Linked DNA regions of Lonchura striata. The protein of the gene in region 2 purifies or fractionates together with the protein of the main gene of each other region. This does not show direct contact. Links are inferred from orthologs where the notes say so. Each region holds a gene or a part of one and is shown on either strand. Other genes may lie near its edges.

Region 1 (8,325 bases), on a different chromosome or scaffold from region 2:
AATGTAACCCCTCTCTTCATTTTGTCTCATTCAGTCTTTTGCACTTTGCATATTTAATTCTTTTTCCCAGTTGTCTTTGTGGCATTATGTGTTCTCCATTTTCTTTGACAATTAGCAGTAACCTGGATGTTTTTGTTAGGATTTCCTTTTGGATGTAGAGGAACACTTCTCCAAGGTATTAGCACTGCCTCTGGTCTCTTTCCAGACCTACAAGAATATACTCAGCTCGCTATACAGAAGACAGCTGGAACAGAATATTTGGATAATAATTTGTAGTTCACTGATTAGTCCTTGCTTTAAAAGTTGTGTTTGAATGTATTGCTCCATTGCACTAAAAAGAAAGACTAAAGGTTTTTTCCCCTCACTTAGCAAGCCCATGGCAGCAGCAGCAGCATGAGCTTGTCCACACTCCTCTGGAAGGGTATTGCACTCTTCTGCAGGAGCCATCCCCTGTGTGAGAGAAAGCACTTCTCTGTAGCCTTCTTAACTTTCGCAATAGCCAAAATGAAGGGCAGTTCTCATTATTTTCCTTCCTCAAACTATGTGAAGAATTTTAATAGGAAAGTTACTAAGATTTGTTTTATATAGACCACTGCAAGTGAAATTAAAATTATTGCAGGGATAGGAACCGAGTGTTCTAAAGTAAAAATACTTCTCGAAATTTTCATTTTACAAAATTAAAAAAAAAATTCTGTATTACATTTTTCCAACTAATTATATAAGTGTTAGTAAGAATTACATGCCCTGCATTTAAAAAACAACTGAACAAATTCACTATTCTATATTGGATTTTCCAAAAGAGAAAACTGAGCCACTTTTCTGTTTCATTCTTTTTTTTTTTTCCCACTGCATTGTAATTTGTTAATTTTCTATCACAGCTTGGTTCCAGATCACTTTGCTGAAAGCTCTATTTTTGGTGTACTGGATTAGATGACTGTGGACAAGATGAACTGCACTAAACTCGAGCAACATCAGCAGCTGATGGCACTGTGTTGCCTAACACCTTCAGAAGTTTCTGCACTTGTGCTGAGTTGCCATAGCAATATCTGCCCACTGGTGGTGGACTTGCTTCAGAAGTTGCAATAAAAACTTCTGTCATACTAACATAATGACAGATACATTTGCCCACAGCTACACCAAGAAACTGGAAATTATTTTTGTCAGAAAAGTAAATGAAGCTTCATTGTGCTTCAGATCACAGGTATGTGTCTGTTTTGGGAAGGCCAACATTCTGCTGGTTTAGTCACTAAATATAGCCACATAAGTACATGAGAGGGGCCAGAATATTTCAATATTTGACACAACACGAGGATCAATTACTTGGCTAATGAGCACTCCCCAGGGAGAGAACCAGTTTTAATACTGTGTTTCTGCAACACCTCTCCTTTTGCCTCTTTTTGTTACAAAAGCATACTTTATTTCATTTCTTCCACTTGCTGCAAATATTTTTGATATCAACTCATTCTCATTCTTAAGCAGTTCAGATATTTGGAGATGATAAAGGAAAGAGAATGCTTGTGGATATGATTAAAAATTATCTTTTTCTTAGTTTTAAAATGTCTCTGAGTTCTGAATACTCATGAGTCCTTTACTTCTTCAGAGTCTTTCAGATACTTTACATGCTGAGTTGCAAGGCTAAGATTTTTCAGACCAGGTAGCAACTTTAACCCAGCAATAATTATTAGCCCATCTGTTTTGCTTCACTGGCCTATTGAGACAGGCAGAAAAAAAATCCAAATCACTGTTTAAGCAAAAGATGCTGGAGCCTTTACTTTGGATGCATGTTTCCAGATTTGTTTGGTTTAACTCGATAGATAAAGAGCTCTGTTTCCCCTCTGGTATTTGGTTTATCTGTTTAGCTTTCCTGGATTAAAATTCAATTTTAGTCAAATACTTGGATGAAATGATGCTTTAATTTGGTCTCCCTGACAGAGATTTTTCTTCCCTGAAGCAGCAACTGATTGTTTTTCTCAGTATGCTCTGTAAGTATCAGCACTAAGTGCTAACTGACCCGTGTTTCTCTCTTGAACCACAGTATTAAAATCTCCATTTAGAAAATATCATGTAGTCCAATTCCACTCTGCCTTAATTGCCCATAATTAAATGTGATCAGAGTGGGACCCTGTTTAAACAGACACAGCTTGGAATATTAACTGCTCTCTGATGATGTGTTTGCTTAGCAGTTTGCAGGCTATCATTCTGATTAATAAAAAATCTACTGTATCTATGGAAACTAAGTGTGGAAAATAGCTTTTACATCTGAGGAATGTTCAAGGAAAATTATTAGGTGGCCTTAAAAATGATAGCAGCTGTCTTCAGAGCAAAACTCAGGGCATTGCTGGTATAGAAAGGAATGTAGCAATGTGTGACATATAGGATCCTAAGATTTTAACTGCATTCCAGTCAAATATTATTTTAGCAAATTATATTTATGCAAATCATTGCATCTGTTTTGTTTTTTCTTGGTGCTTTTGTGACTTTCCATATCTTAACTGAGATGTCTCAAGAGATGATTTAAATAATATTCATTATTAATTCATTGCCTCTAGATTAACTCTGAAAGAAATTACAGTTTCAACATGAGGATAATAAACAGTATTTGCACCAAATTTTCCAATGCTTTTTTTCTTTTGGAGAGCCTTTACATGGAATTGTCTTCTAGCCTGGCTTCTTACTGTAGAATTAAGGAACCATGAATGTATTGTCTCTCTCTTTCCCATTTTATTTTTCCAGCAAAAGGTGTTGGCCAACAAATGACAATTGTAGGAGTTCTTATGGCATTAAAAAATCTATTTTTGAAGAGGTCTTTTTCTCTCAGCTTCTTGACTCCTAGAAGTTACTTGATGTGCTCAAAGTATTGGTAGGTCTTGCACGTTTGTCACAGCAAACACAGGAAACCTCTGCACTCTTTTAATGGCAAATAAAAATGGGTGACTGAGTTTCTGAGTTTACTCACCTCTGATCCTGCAGAGGGACACAGAAGTCATAATCTTCCTTGGCTATCAGGCTTCCATTCGTGTTATGAATGTGTCTTGGAGAACATGAACTTGATCCCATTTGGGTGAAGGCAAAATAAGATTTGCCCCAGGAACACACACTGCTTTCCAGCCACTAAATGGTGGTTGATCCAAGGGATGAGGTCAGTGCTCCTCTGGAGTAAATCCCTCTGACACACATGGAGAGGAAACACTGCCCTCAGCTCTGTAGACTTACTCCTATTGCAATCCATTGTGAAATTAACTGAGCTGGGAGTTGACTGGAATAAAAATCCATGTTTCCCAGGAGAATAACTCTGAACAGGGCACTTTTCCTGGAAAAAATGAAAGATTCTGAGGCATAAAGTGGATAGTGAGAACATTTTTTTAACAAGTTGCTGTGAATTATGAAAATGGCAGAATATTCAAATTTTCTAGTAATATATTAATATAACATTTGATATTTCATGTCCTTTATTTTATGCTGTTTCTAATGTGGAGTTAGGCCAAAGACCTTGCCTGGTGGTTTGATGAAACAAAATACTTAAATTGTAAGACAAAAACTCACCTAATTTTCTTACCTTGGTCTGCATTAAGCAGGATACAGATCTGAAATTCTGTGTCCACCACAGTTTCCAAAGGTTTTGGATAAAAACAATACAATGGAGCTTTTTAGAATGTGCACTTCATGGCATAGCTGTCCCAGCCATATCTGGCAGTCTTGGGTGATATTAAATATCAAAAGGAGGAAAGGTTTATTTAGGCAGAGGTGAGAGGGAGCCCAAAGCACAGTAGATAAGTCTTGGTAATGAGAGCAGAAGGGAACAGTTTTTCAATGGTTTTGGAGTTTGGTTTTTTTTGTTGTTTTTTTTTTTTTTTTTTTTTTCCAATAAAATACTGTTTTTCAGGGGCCAGTAAAAGCATTTGAGTATGATGCAAGCTGTAATGAGGTGCAAGAACAGTGCAATAGCAGAACCCCTCCTGGTGCTCCTGGTGAATTCTACCTTTGCTGATGGCAGGAGAGGCTGCAGGAGCTCTGCTGCAACTGTTTCCCTTTTAGACTCAAACAACTTGATTTTCATGCTTGCTCTGCTTCAGGGGAAAAGAAACCTCTTGAAGTAAAATACCTCTTGTGAGAGTTAACCTTGGGAGCTTTTGCTTGGATCCATCTTGTAAACAGAATCTGAATGTTTACACAGAGTTTTGTGGTCCTTAATTTGACCTGGCCTAGACCCCCTTGTAATTGCAGTGGATCAGTTAGTGGGGAACAAAAAGTGGATGAAAAGCAGGAATAAAAAGAAAATGTGATGTAACACAGAAAACTAAAACAGGCATACAAAAATAAACATTTAAGGTATGTCTCAAGATATATTTGAGGTGCATAATATTTAAAGATATAATGTAATATAATTGCAACATTAGTTGTCAAAGTATAAATGCCTGAACTTTTGAATGTTTTGATATTTTTAGAGGCCCATGTAGGGCATAAAACTTGATATTTTAAAACTGTTGTAGTGATGGACTATGAATGTTTGTTTACTTGAAAAGAAACTGAGCTTAGTTAGGGATCAAAGTGTATTGCAATAGTTCTAGCTGTATGTTCACCTTTTCACTTAGGTCAAAAGGACTGTTTACACACATTAAAATATTTGGTCAGTTAAACATTATTTTAGAATTCATGGGCAGCTGAGTTTGGAAAACATTATTGCAGAGGCAGTATAAAGTGATAGAACATCATCTGCAAAAGCCTTTGTAAAGGACTACACAGTGTTTTAACTGGCCATAAGGAGCAAAGTGCTCCTTAGCAGATGGTACAGCAGAGTTTTTCTTGAGAAAGATTTGTTTTGGTTTATTTCTATTCACATCCAGCTATGACAAGAGTTTGCAGGAGTGTTTCCAGATCCCCCATGTGAGTTATACCGTGCGTGCAGCTTGGAAAGTCCAATGTCTGCAAATGTGTCTGGATGTTCCAGACAATGTTGGATTGGGTTTGCTGTGGGATTCTCTTGGATGGACCCAGATTGAATTGCAATGAGTGAGACAGGAACTTGGAAAAACTTGGGACAATCCGAACACAGCATTTCTAGCACTGTAGATTTAAAGAAATCCAGAGAAACCAAGAAACAAACAATCCCCTCTGCATCCCCCCAAAAATTCCTCCCACCCAAGAAACTGAAAAACAGCAACAAAACCCACTCTACATGTTATGCATACCAGATAGCTGCAAAAATGCCTTTTCTGGTTGTTTTGGCATCATGATTTCCCTCTCCCTCTTTAAGCAACTTGCCAAGGAAAGGATAAAAATGTTAAATATTACACCAGCAAACCTATGATGGGACACATGCTTCATCTTCGCATACTGAAGGCATGGGGAGACTGAGTTAGGCAAGGCCTTACAGGCAGTGTATGACAAAAGAAAATCCTTCTCCAGATTCTCAGGTTGGTGTGCTAAGGGTGACACTTAATTCCACTGTGCCTATTACTAAATACATTTCTCTAACAAAATGGCATCACTGGTAACATATAAAAATTAAAAGATTAAGTATTTCAGAAGAATCTTAAAAAATCTCATGATAGGTTAATTGTATTTCTGTAACAATTTGCATTCAGAGACCAGAGTATTACTTAGGTTCTAGGAAAAGTTACGTTCTCAGTATATAAATAAAACCAACTGCAAATAAAATGGTACTTTTTTCTTTTAAATCTAGCTATGACCAACTTACTTTGTATAATATAATATAACATTGTAATATCAATATAATCCTTTCAGAAAAAATGAATCACAGCAATTCCAAGTTTAGGTCTCTATATCAGGGAGTATAAAGGAAAATTTATAAAAAGGTAGTCAGAATATATTCTTAGGATATCACATATATTCAACAAATTATTTCAAAACCTCCTATTTGTATGAATTTGCATCTGAATTAGAACAGTTTATAAATTTACAGTTAGTGTGATACTGAATTTTCACCTACCAAAGCCATTCTTTAAGATACCTTTTCTAAAAAAATGAAAGGCAGTTTGCTCTTCTTAGCTCAACACAGTGTTTCTCCAAGTGTAAGGGCCCCTTGATTAGAACATTCAGTATATTTCTTTTTGTATCCATGTAATTCAGAACAAATTATATCATGTTACATGTAATGTCATTAATAAATCTGTGAAGCTAATAAATCCAGCTTGTGTTTTGGAAAGGAGAACACTGCACTTCTTTCATTAAGCATATTTTTGTCAATGGAAGATAGATACAGAAATATCAGGATGGTTAAAGGGATAAGAGTGGTTAAACTTGTAGTGTTATTTGCGTGGCTGATGTTCATGGAGACAAATGGTTACAAAATCAGTTTTCTTACAAAATCACTTGACTTGAACATTATAGAAAGTTATTAAGAATAAAGAGGGATATTCTTTCGTGTTTTGTCAAGTAGATACATACAGGAATTATTTTAAATTTTTGTCACAGGCTTAACATTAACACTGTTGTCCTTACACCCAGTGAAGTATGCATGGCTTTAGTGGATATGTGAAAGAATAAAAAATCTAAAATTAATAAATTTTCTCATTGTAAACAGTACATTACAATAAAAAATGTACTTAAAAATAATGGGCTTGTGCAGAACATGCCTCTGTGTACAATTTAACAAAAACCAGAAAAATTATATTTTTGAGGATTACAAGTAGTTTTGGGATGATTGAGTGCAAGCAATTTGTAACAGGGGCTTGAGGTCTGTATTTACTGAAGTCAGGAGTTGGATTTGATCATCCTTTTGGGCCCCTTCCAGCTAAGGAACTCATAGGATTCCAAGGGGGCATGTTTCACCAATTTAAATGAGTAGGTGATCATGCAGAGAACAATGCACAATTAGACCTTGGAACATTAGTCCCCATTACATCCATGTCCTTTTAAATGCTACATTTCTGTTTGTGTAATACAGGGAGTGCTCCACAGCTAGAATATACAAGTGACTTTAATATAGGACATATTTTATTATTTGTGCTACCTTGCTTAAGTCAAGTTTTGCTCTCTGCAGCTGTTTATGATTTCAGACTTGATTTCCTTTGTCAGATTGTCTTTCTTGGATAGTATTAAAATGCTGCCAAATTACTTTTGCTGCATTACTTTTGCATAGATACAAAAAAGTCTCTAATGGTTTGTTAGGATGAGAAGTTAATCTTAGCTTTGCTTTGCAGTTAGATTTTTATGGCAGGAGCAGGGTGTTAGTTCAAGTCACATTTCCATGTACTATGTACCAAGAAAATAGCACATGGGTGATTTCTTGCCCCTGACTGTCATTTCTTACAGTATGCATCACTGAGTGGTCAGTTGGCATCATTAGTTTGTTCCCTTTTAAATTGTCAAGTGAGTATTAAATACCTCCTTTCATTAAACCTTAATAGTGTTGTGTTAACTAGTCAGAAGTCACAACTTCAGGGTGCTGGTACTGTTGAATTCCTGTATATCCTTGGCTGGAACTGCTGGAAAGTCTTCTAGGATTTTGGTCTGCATGATCACTGAACTTCCATGCTGTCTTTAAAATAAAAAAGAAGACTTTTGGAATTTTATCCAGTGGAACTTAGTTCTTTTAAAGAAAACACTTTTATTTTAAGACAAAATGAAGAATGTGCCAGCACATTGATTATTAAATAGTCTGCTCTGCAATTAAGTGTGAGCAAATGTTATTCCCATCTGTGGTCTTCACTGAAGACCAAATAAGGGACAACTTATATCTAAGAACATTTTGAATATGATGCATTTGCTGTTGAAAAGGCTGAGTTTATGGAACTTCTGTATTGCACCATTAGTATTTGGAAAACATGGAAAGTGTATTGAATAATGTAAATGAGACTGCAGAGAAGGAAAGGCTGACAACTCTGGAGTAAAATAAGCTTGAATATCAGCGTCCCATTGCTATGCTAGAGTGCATTTCATTTAATAGTTTTAAATCCCAAAGATTGTCTTCAGGATAAAGGTACATTGAATATATTCTATGCTTTTCTGTAATTTTATTCCAAGGATTCTACTCCTCTATGTTCCTTCCAGCTTTTAAATTCTATGTGACAAAAATGTGCTCTATTTATTTATATATAGAAAAACAAAAAGGCAGAAGTATAGCGTCTAATTTTAATGGCTCTCAGAAACATAAAGCATCTTCAGTGATACCTAAAATCGGTGAGATTTTATTAGTAATTCCCACAATCAAAGGTTTAGCTAAGGAGCCAGATTGCTGTGACTTGCACTAACATAAAATATTTGGTTTTTATATAGGAATTTTAAGAAGCACAATGTATATGTTGCATTTTCCATATAACAGAATTTTAAGAAATATTTTTTGTTCTTTGTCAACTGAAGAAG
Region 2 (7,935 bases):
CCTGACTAATGGAGCCCCTAATGAGCACTTGGTACCTTAATATATTACTTAAAACTAATCTGGCAGGTGGGTTGGTGCAGGTGCTGTGCTGGCACTCGGTGCTCAGCTCCCACAGCAGCATTCCCTCTCCTGACTGCTGGCATACTGGCACTGTAGGCATCTGGTTCTTACCCTCTGGAGGGGCCCATGACTTATCTGAGGTGGGCATTGGCAGCCACCCCTCGTGCTGGTGCATGGAGTTGACAGCCCATGACTTGTGCCCTTTTGTGCCTCTCCTCAAAGGTTTCTTGCTGCATATTCAGTTCCATGCTCACCTCTGGGCACCTTTCTGAACAAATACCAAATGCAGTATTACAGATCTCTAAATTATTCTATCATCCTATCCAGATTAAAACATGACACCCACCATCCCAGTCCTGATTTATGGGGTATAAAACAGTAACTTCTGTTTGCACAGGTTTAAGGGCTCGTTTCCACCTCAGGCTAAGCACCCTTTCAGTTCTCACACAAACCTCCCTAGGCTTTGAGGAAATGAACTGTTTATGTAGGGAGACCTGAAACAAAGATGCCCTTTGTGCAACAGAAGTAGGGGAGGCAGAACAAGAAGTGCCTTTGGCCACAGCTCATCAGTCTCAGCACCAGCTTATGGAGAGAGAGGGAAATACCTGTCTGAGTGCAGCTCATCTCACCCAATGCAGGAATCTGCCTGGCAGAAATAGAATAAATTTTAACTTTTAGAATGAGATAAATTATGCAAGTCTCTCCCTTCCCCATCTCACCTGGAAAACAAGACCTAGATAACCAGTTCCTAGTTTGATCTTCACTGAAAAGAAATACTCAAACCTGGAGGGATCTATAGTAGAGTATCCTGATGGCCCCTCTACTGCTGGAGCCCCTGGCTATCAGACAGAGCTTCCCTGGCTCCCACTGACTTATTTCTCATGTCCTGGAATTCCCTTTCCAGGGCAGTCACCTCCTCCTGCCAATTTTTCTGTCTGTTTTCTCCAGCTGGAGGCGGATCAGGCCAGTCTGTGCAGTGGATGTGCTACCAGGGACAGGGTATTCATGCAGATTTCTGCCAGCCCTTGCCTTCACTCCCCTCCATCTGTGCTGGAGTGAGGAGAAGTTCACTCTTAATCTATAGAAGGGATGGGTGTGGTGCCTTCTACCTAAGGAGAGAACAATTTTATTTGTGTTTAGCCAAAAAGACATAAAGCTACACTGGGATTGGGAATGGTGTGCATGTCTGTGGAAGGCTGAGTCAGGTGTGCTGGCAGCTCTCTACAATCAAAGGGACCAGTTTTTCTCTTAGAATCATGGAATGGTTTGGGTTAGAAGGGACCTGGCCAGGTGGGAATTAGCTGCACCCTGGCTCACACTTTCCCAAATTTGCAGAAAGCTGGACCTGCCACTGGCAAAATGATTTGTTTCAGGATGCTGACTGGCTCCAGAACACAAGAGATATTTCAGCATCCTGATGCCCATCCTGTGCTCCCAATGCAGATTCCTTGGGCAAGTTGGACCAGATGTTCCCTGTGAACCCTTTGCCATGGGCTGGGTTCCTGGTGCATGTATGTGTGTCTCCATAAGGAATATCATCTCCTTTGGAGGCTGCAGGCTGGCCCCTTGAGTGCCAGTCCTATCTTTGCCAAGCACTGTATCGTCTCCAAGCCTCTAAATCCCTTTTGGGACCTTCAGGAGAAGGCTGCAAGCTGTTTACCTGCAGTGTGGATCCAGGAAGGGTGGGAGGAGCAGCACAGGAACAGTGGGCATTGCTGGTGGGAGGGAAAAGGGGCAAATCACTGCCAGCTGCCCTTAAGAACATGCTGCCCGCATTATATTTGCCTCCTCCTCCTCAGAATTGAGAAACACTTGTAACGGTGGTTGGGAGATGATGAAGGAGATTTCTCTCTCTGACTACATGAACACACACACTGAGAACACTCAGAGGAGCCCAGTTGTGTGAAATAACCTTCTCTTCCTCTGTGATTTGTGACAGTGGAGAAGAGAGCCCAGCTGGGGAGGCATCCGAGGTGGCATTTAGGAATTCCCTCTGGCTAAGCCAGCTAAGGAGTCTGGAGCACTCTGCAGTCCTGTGCTGGGCTGCCCAGCACCACTCCTGCCTTTGCCCAGGTCACTGGAGGGAAAGGAGGGCAAGTATTTTGGGAACTCATGAAGGAAGTGAAAGCAGAGTCTGTATCAAGTTCCTCTTGAAAGTCTGTGAAGCCACTGAACTTCAGAGCAACGTTTCTGCTCTGCACTAGGCTCAGTGCTTGGGTAGAAGTTTCTAAGTAATGTGTGAGTCTTTTTCTGATACTAAAAGTGCAAAAATATTTCAGTGAAAGCAGAAGTTCTATTTGTGAACATTCAGGTCAGCTTAGGTTGGAAATTCAGAGTACTGATCTGAAGAGCAGTCCTTTAACTCTGCACAGCTGCAGCTTAAGGGGGTTACAATGCAAACAATCCTTGTGCCAGGCCCTGAACTGAGCCTTGGCCCTAAAAATCTTACTGTTGGTTGGAGCAAACCTCTTACCTACCTTGTCTGTGGTTTTGTTCATTACAGACTCTGTTCTTGCGCTGTGTGCTCTTAACAGCAATGTGTACTCTCAGTCTGCCCAAGAGAGTCCCGGACTTCAGCTGTTTCCCAAATGTGCTGTGTTGCTTTTCCCCTGATACATGTCAAAAACCCAATAAATATTTGCTTTCTAGTGTTTCTAGCCACACTTTCTCTCCAGTATAAAAGGTTCCTTCAGCTTTAGCTGCTCTGGTTTCTCTCAGCATTCCCTCCAGTGACCCAGGCAAAGGTCACCTGCAGGGAGCAGGACACTTCTCCTGCCACTCACTTTTGGCCAAGACAAATCTGTAACCTCATCCATAACCTTCTGTCCTTATGTGTAAGCCTCTGTTTGTGTCCATAACCCTATATTTTTGTGTTCTGGTTTGTGGGTGCCAACTGGTTCAAGTGCCCCAAGGATGAGCAACGCCTGACACTCACCCACTATGTGCTCCATGTAAATGGTGGAGTGGGGCAAAGCAAGGGTGAAATGGGATTTCATGGCTTATCTGCAGGTGTGGCTATGTGTTCATCTAAGTCTTCTATCCTAAGTAGTGAAACTGGTGTAACCATGTGAGTCTGGGGGATTCTTTTGCCAGCAAGGGAGCTCATGGAACTGAATTTTGCCCTGCAAATAACAGTGAGCAGCATGTCTGGGTATCACAAAGCTGTCCCTTTAGTCGAGGCAGCTCTGAATATGCTAACCTTGAACAATTTTGCAGAGAAATGCTGAAGACTTTTATCTGACTCAAGAAAAGCTCTTTGAGATCCCATTGGTATTGCTGGGAAGAGCAGTCTGTGGTGTCTTTGGGGCAAACACATCTAAGATGAGCTCAATGGCTACAGGCTGTGCTCTGTTTGGATTTGTGTTGTGGGAGCAAAAAGCTGATGTGATTTGAGCCATTTAGTGGGGCCTTTGAGGACTGATGAAGGGTCAGGTTTTAATTTTGCATTCTAACAGAGATTCTCCCTCTGCTGGGGGCAGAATAGCAGCTGATGGTAGAAATGAAGATGGGGCTGTCCAGGAAGCTGCTTCTCTGGTTGCTGAGATAGACTGTGACCTGGGAGCTGTTTGCTCCTGGGCTTGATGAACAGCAGGTAGTAAAGGTGAGCTTGTAGGGGGCTGGTGTTGGGAGGTTGGGTGCTCAGCCACAGCATTTCCTGCGCACACGGCCTTACCCTGTGTCTGTATTTCCAACGGGAGCTGGGGAAAGTTCACATGGGAGCTAAGCGTCCAAGTGGTCATTGAGTGGTCCACTCCAGAGCCCAGGCTCCAGCACACAGGTGCTGGTGGGACATCTGACTAGTCCCTATGCACATGAAGCTCCTGGAAAGGTGGACTTTTCATCTTGGGACTGTTGAATCACTATTCAACATGGTGAATGCAGCAGGACAGCCCCCTTATCCTCACCTCCCGCTCCAGGCACGGAGGACTGCTGGAAGACAGAAGGCTCAGGGGTGCAGTCGCACATCCTGGCTGAGCTTCTGGAGCAGGGCAGGTGCCGGGGGCTGGACATTGGAGTGGGGGGCTGGGGACAGAGGCCTCAGGGCAAAGGGGTTGATGCTGGGGTGGAGAGGTCAGCACAGGGATGAAGGGCTCAGGGCAGAGGGTTTGATGCCGGGGCGGAGGGCTCGGAGCAGAGGCCTCGGTGCTCGTGTGGGGTCAATGGGCTCCGGGGAAGGCTCCGTGCAGGGCTCGCGGTGCCGGGCACGCAGCCGCCTCCCCGCTATTGTTGCCGTCGCTCCCAGCGCCGCCATCGGTGCGGCCCGAGCAGGAGCCGGCGGGAGCAGCGCCCCGGGCCGGGAATGCCGCTCCCGGCCGAGGAACGGGCCGTGCCCGCAGGGCCGCCGCCCGCTCCATTTTCTGTCTCCCCGTCACCGAGACGCTCAGATGGCAGAGCGGCGCTCGGCGGTCCTGGGAGGGAGGTGGAGTCTGCCCATCCTCCGCCCGCCCTCCCTCCATTGTCGGCGGCGGCGCCGGCACCTGCTCGGGCTGCCGGCGGCCGGGATGCTCCTGCCCTTCCTGGCGGAGCGGGGACGCTGCCGCAGTGCCGGGGCCGCAGCTCGCAGCCGGAGGGAGGAGATGCTGCTTGTGCCTGCCCGGCCCTGCTGCCGTCTCGGGAAATGAACATGAGTCTGCCAGGCCGCGTCTCCTGCTCCATGCTCAACTGCTTTGTAAGTGCTGCTTTTTATTCTCCTTCTCTCCTCCGTGGAAGCGGGGCCGTAAGCCAGCTGCAGTCTCCAACTCGCATGCCGGTGGAGGCATCCTCTGGATCGGCCCGGGGAGAAGGGGGACCCCCTTTCTTGGCTCTCACACGCTGCCGGAGGACGGCGCGGCCCGTCCCTGCTGCCCCGCCGGGCCCAAGGGCACAGCAGTGCCCGGCTGAGCCCTGGCCGCTGGGCTGGGCCCCGCAGGCTCTGCACCCTGCCTGGAGCTGGGAATTACCGTGCTGGAGCAGCCAGACCCCGAGCCCCCGCCCCTCACTGCCCGCGGCCCTGTGGGACCCCTCCGGTGCGGTGCTGGGCTGTGCGGGGTCCTGTGCTCGGCGCCTTTTTCACCTTCAGCGAGAGGGGTTTTCCTGCTCTGAGCCTTCTTGCAGGCCCACCCTCAACCCCCCAGGGCACTCCTGGCCAGATGGGCTCCGAGGGCTTCAGGAGGCTTGTGGAGAGAGCAGCGTGCTGACCCCCACGCTGCTGGTAGCAGGGATGGGGCCGTGGCAGGAGGGGATGCTCAGCCTCTGCCTGCCCTGTGCTGCAGGCGAGGAGGGACTCAAGGACACCCAGGCGGGTGGAGAGCTCAGGCTGTTCTGTTCCAGTTCCTGCTGCTCCCTGGGATTTCTCTGCGAGCTGCAAAGTGAGGATGGGAGAGCATCTCTGCTTCCTGGCTGCTGCACCGGCACATGGGCACGCACCTTCTCTTTGTGCTCTTCTGGGCTGGTGCCTCAGCCTTGGAGTGAGCCACTGGCAGGAGGGGCCCCAAGGCCCCCGTGGTCTCCAGTGAGCATTGGCTGCTGCTGGAGATGGTGCTGTGCTCTGTGTCCCTCACAGCATGGTGACAGGGGCAGTGCCTTTGCCTCCAGCTGCGCCTGAGGCTGAGTTTTATGAAGGCTCTAACAGCATGTTACATGCATGCAGGTTCCTTGGATGTGGGGTGGGAGGGGTCTGGCTGCCCCTGTCTGACGTTCTGGGAGCACCTCAGGCCAGGCTCTTCCTTCAGGCGCTGAGGCTTTAGCACCTCTCAGTAACACAAGAGGATTCAGCATCATTTGAAATATTCCTGAGCCAGAAGGATTGAGATCTCCTTTCTTCAGGTTGGAATTGGGATTCTGGCTTGGGTGGCATATCCAGAAAGATATGTCATTTTAAAATGTTACTCAGTGCTTACAGAACACAGTGTTTTCTGATAAATGCTAGAGCCTAGAAGTAGAGTTTTGAAGAAAACATTCCCACACCAAATACATGTGGAATTAGCACCATCCTGGACTCCCAGCAGTGAGCATCTGCAGCTGAATGTCTGAGTGCCACTCCTTTGGGCAGCAATTCAGTGATGTGACAGGGCCTGGGTGAGAGCTGGTGAAAATTGGCACCAGTGGTTCACACCAGAGCTTAAGGAGCATTGGGACAATGCTCTGATACGCATGGTGGGATTTGGGGTGTTCTGTGCAGGGCCAGGAGTGGGACTTGATGATCCTTATCCCTTCCAGCTCATACCCTGATTGTATAATGAAGATTCTCGTGTTCCAAACGGAGACATACACTCCACTTGTCAAGGATGGCATGTACAGGTTCTGTGTGACCATCCTGAGGCCTCTGTGTGTTTTCTCAGGTGTCCATCTGAACAGGGTCAACATGTCCAGCTGCCCTGGGCTTGGTGCTGGCACCAGTCAGTAGTGCCTGTTGTGAGTTATGTGCACTGGGGTACAGTTGTGGTAGGGTTGTAGGTTGTTCACAGTTGTATCTTCTCCAGAAGATTCAGGGTCTTCCCAGATGTCTTTGGTGTGAGAGTGAAAACAAAAACTCCCAAAACAAAGCAGTCCTTAAGAGGAGGAAGAATAGGCTGACATTGGACTGTAGATGGAAACCCTCTGTCATGGTGTGTGTGCTCTGGTGCCATGGAGCAGGTAACGGGAACAGCTGACGTGACAAGTTACTGTCACATCAGTCCCCTGTGGCCAAGGTGTGTCTGCTTGACTTTCCAAACACCACTCAGCTGGAAGAGGCGGGACTTGGAGGCTTCAGCATTTCACTGTGCTGTGGGTACTCTGCAACAGTCAGAGGAGCTGCTGGGGTCTGGAGGCAGAACAGACATTTCCATGCACAGGTATCCATCCCCAAGCTCCTGGGCTGCCAAAAGTATCCAGCAGCTTCAATTTTTGGCTTTCACAGCGTGTTCTGGCCGAGGCTGTCTGACTGTGTCCTCTGTTTGCAATGCAGGGTGAGGAGGGCCCTCCCAGTTTGGAGTACATCCAGGCCAAGGACTTGTTCCCTCCGAAGGAGCTCATAAAGGAGGAGGAGTCACTGCAGGTAAGGAAGTAAAAACACCCAAACAGCTCAGGGATGTGCAGGCTAGGCTCTGCAGAGCAGTTCTCCAGCCCAGCACATCCTGGAGGCCACAGGTGGGCTAGGTTGGGGGCACATTCAGGGCAGCAGGTCCCTGTGCTTGGGGGCCAGGCCAGCTGTCCCCAGAGCCCTGTCCCTGTGTGCCCAGCCCTGGCAGGATGTGGCCAGCATTGCCAGCCATGGAGAGTGTGGCACAGCCAGCCCTGGCATTTCCTGTGGGAAGTGCTGCTGCTACCCTGCCCTGCAGGAGCATCCAGGGAGATTCCCGGGACAGGGGCAGCATGGGGGCCGTGCTCTGTGCAGCCCTGCAGCTGCACTGCCTGCTCTCCCCTCGAGCACCTTGTCCTGCTGCATGGTGGCTGGAAGAAAGAACCCCTGTATGGTGCCAGCCTCCTGCTGCAAAAGCCCTGGGAAGAGCCCCGGGTGCTGCTGCTGCTGTGCAGCAGGGGCAGCATTCCCTCCTGGGAATTGGTGCTTCCTTTAACAACCTCTGGTGCTCACCGTTCTCCTCCTGGGGCTGGAGCCCGGTTCACCTTGTTCTTGCTGCTGCAGTGTTTTGAGTTTGTTCAGAGACTGTCACCGCCTTGGCAAACAGTGCAGGGGAAAAGAAGGACTGAGAGCTGTTGGCTTGAAGGAACAGCCGTAGGCTGGGGAGTTGTGCAGGGTCAGGCCTGCAGGGCTGTGGCTTTGGGGGGTGAAGCTGCTGAGGCGACTCTGAGCTGAGACTTCTGGAGAAGAGCACTCTCTGCCTTAGTTTGCTGTGTGGAGAAGTAAAGTTCAACCCTCCCAAGGGTAATTTGCCTTCAGTAAATTGTTAATTT

Evidence for each region. The genes of interacting proteins can lie anywhere in the genome.
Region 1: the proteins of MTMR4 (region 2) and DNAJC10 purify together in Homo sapiens (affinity purification with mass spectrometry; 3 studies listed by BioGRID and IntAct, counting the BioPlex papers as one, with this or other methods). This does not show direct contact. The link is inferred for Lonchura striata from reciprocal best matches to the Homo sapiens genes MTMR4 and DNAJC10.

The regions. Positions count from the first base shown.
Region 1 is NC_134610.1:24,460,092-24,468,416, reverse strand, and holds the start of DNAJC10 (dnaJ homolog subfamily C member 10), read right to left. Parts: upstream 3,162-8,325; 5' UTR 2,957-3,161; intron 1-2,956. UniProt on the Homo sapiens protein: Endoplasmic reticulum disulfide reductase involved both in the correct folding of proteins and degradation of misfolded proteins.
Region 2 is NC_134622.1:1,318,163-1,326,097, reverse strand, and holds the start of MTMR4 (phosphatidylinositol-3,5-bisphosphate 3-phosphatase MTMR4), read left to right. Parts: upstream 1-4,493; 5' UTR 4,494-4,678; coding exon 4,679-4,729; intron 4,730-6,988; coding exon 6,989-7,078; intron 7,079-7,935. UniProt on the Homo sapiens protein: Lipid phosphatase that specifically dephosphorylates the D-3 position of phosphatidylinositol 3-phosphate and phosphatidylinositol 3,5-bisphosphate, generating phosphatidylinositol and phosphatidylinositol 5-phosphate.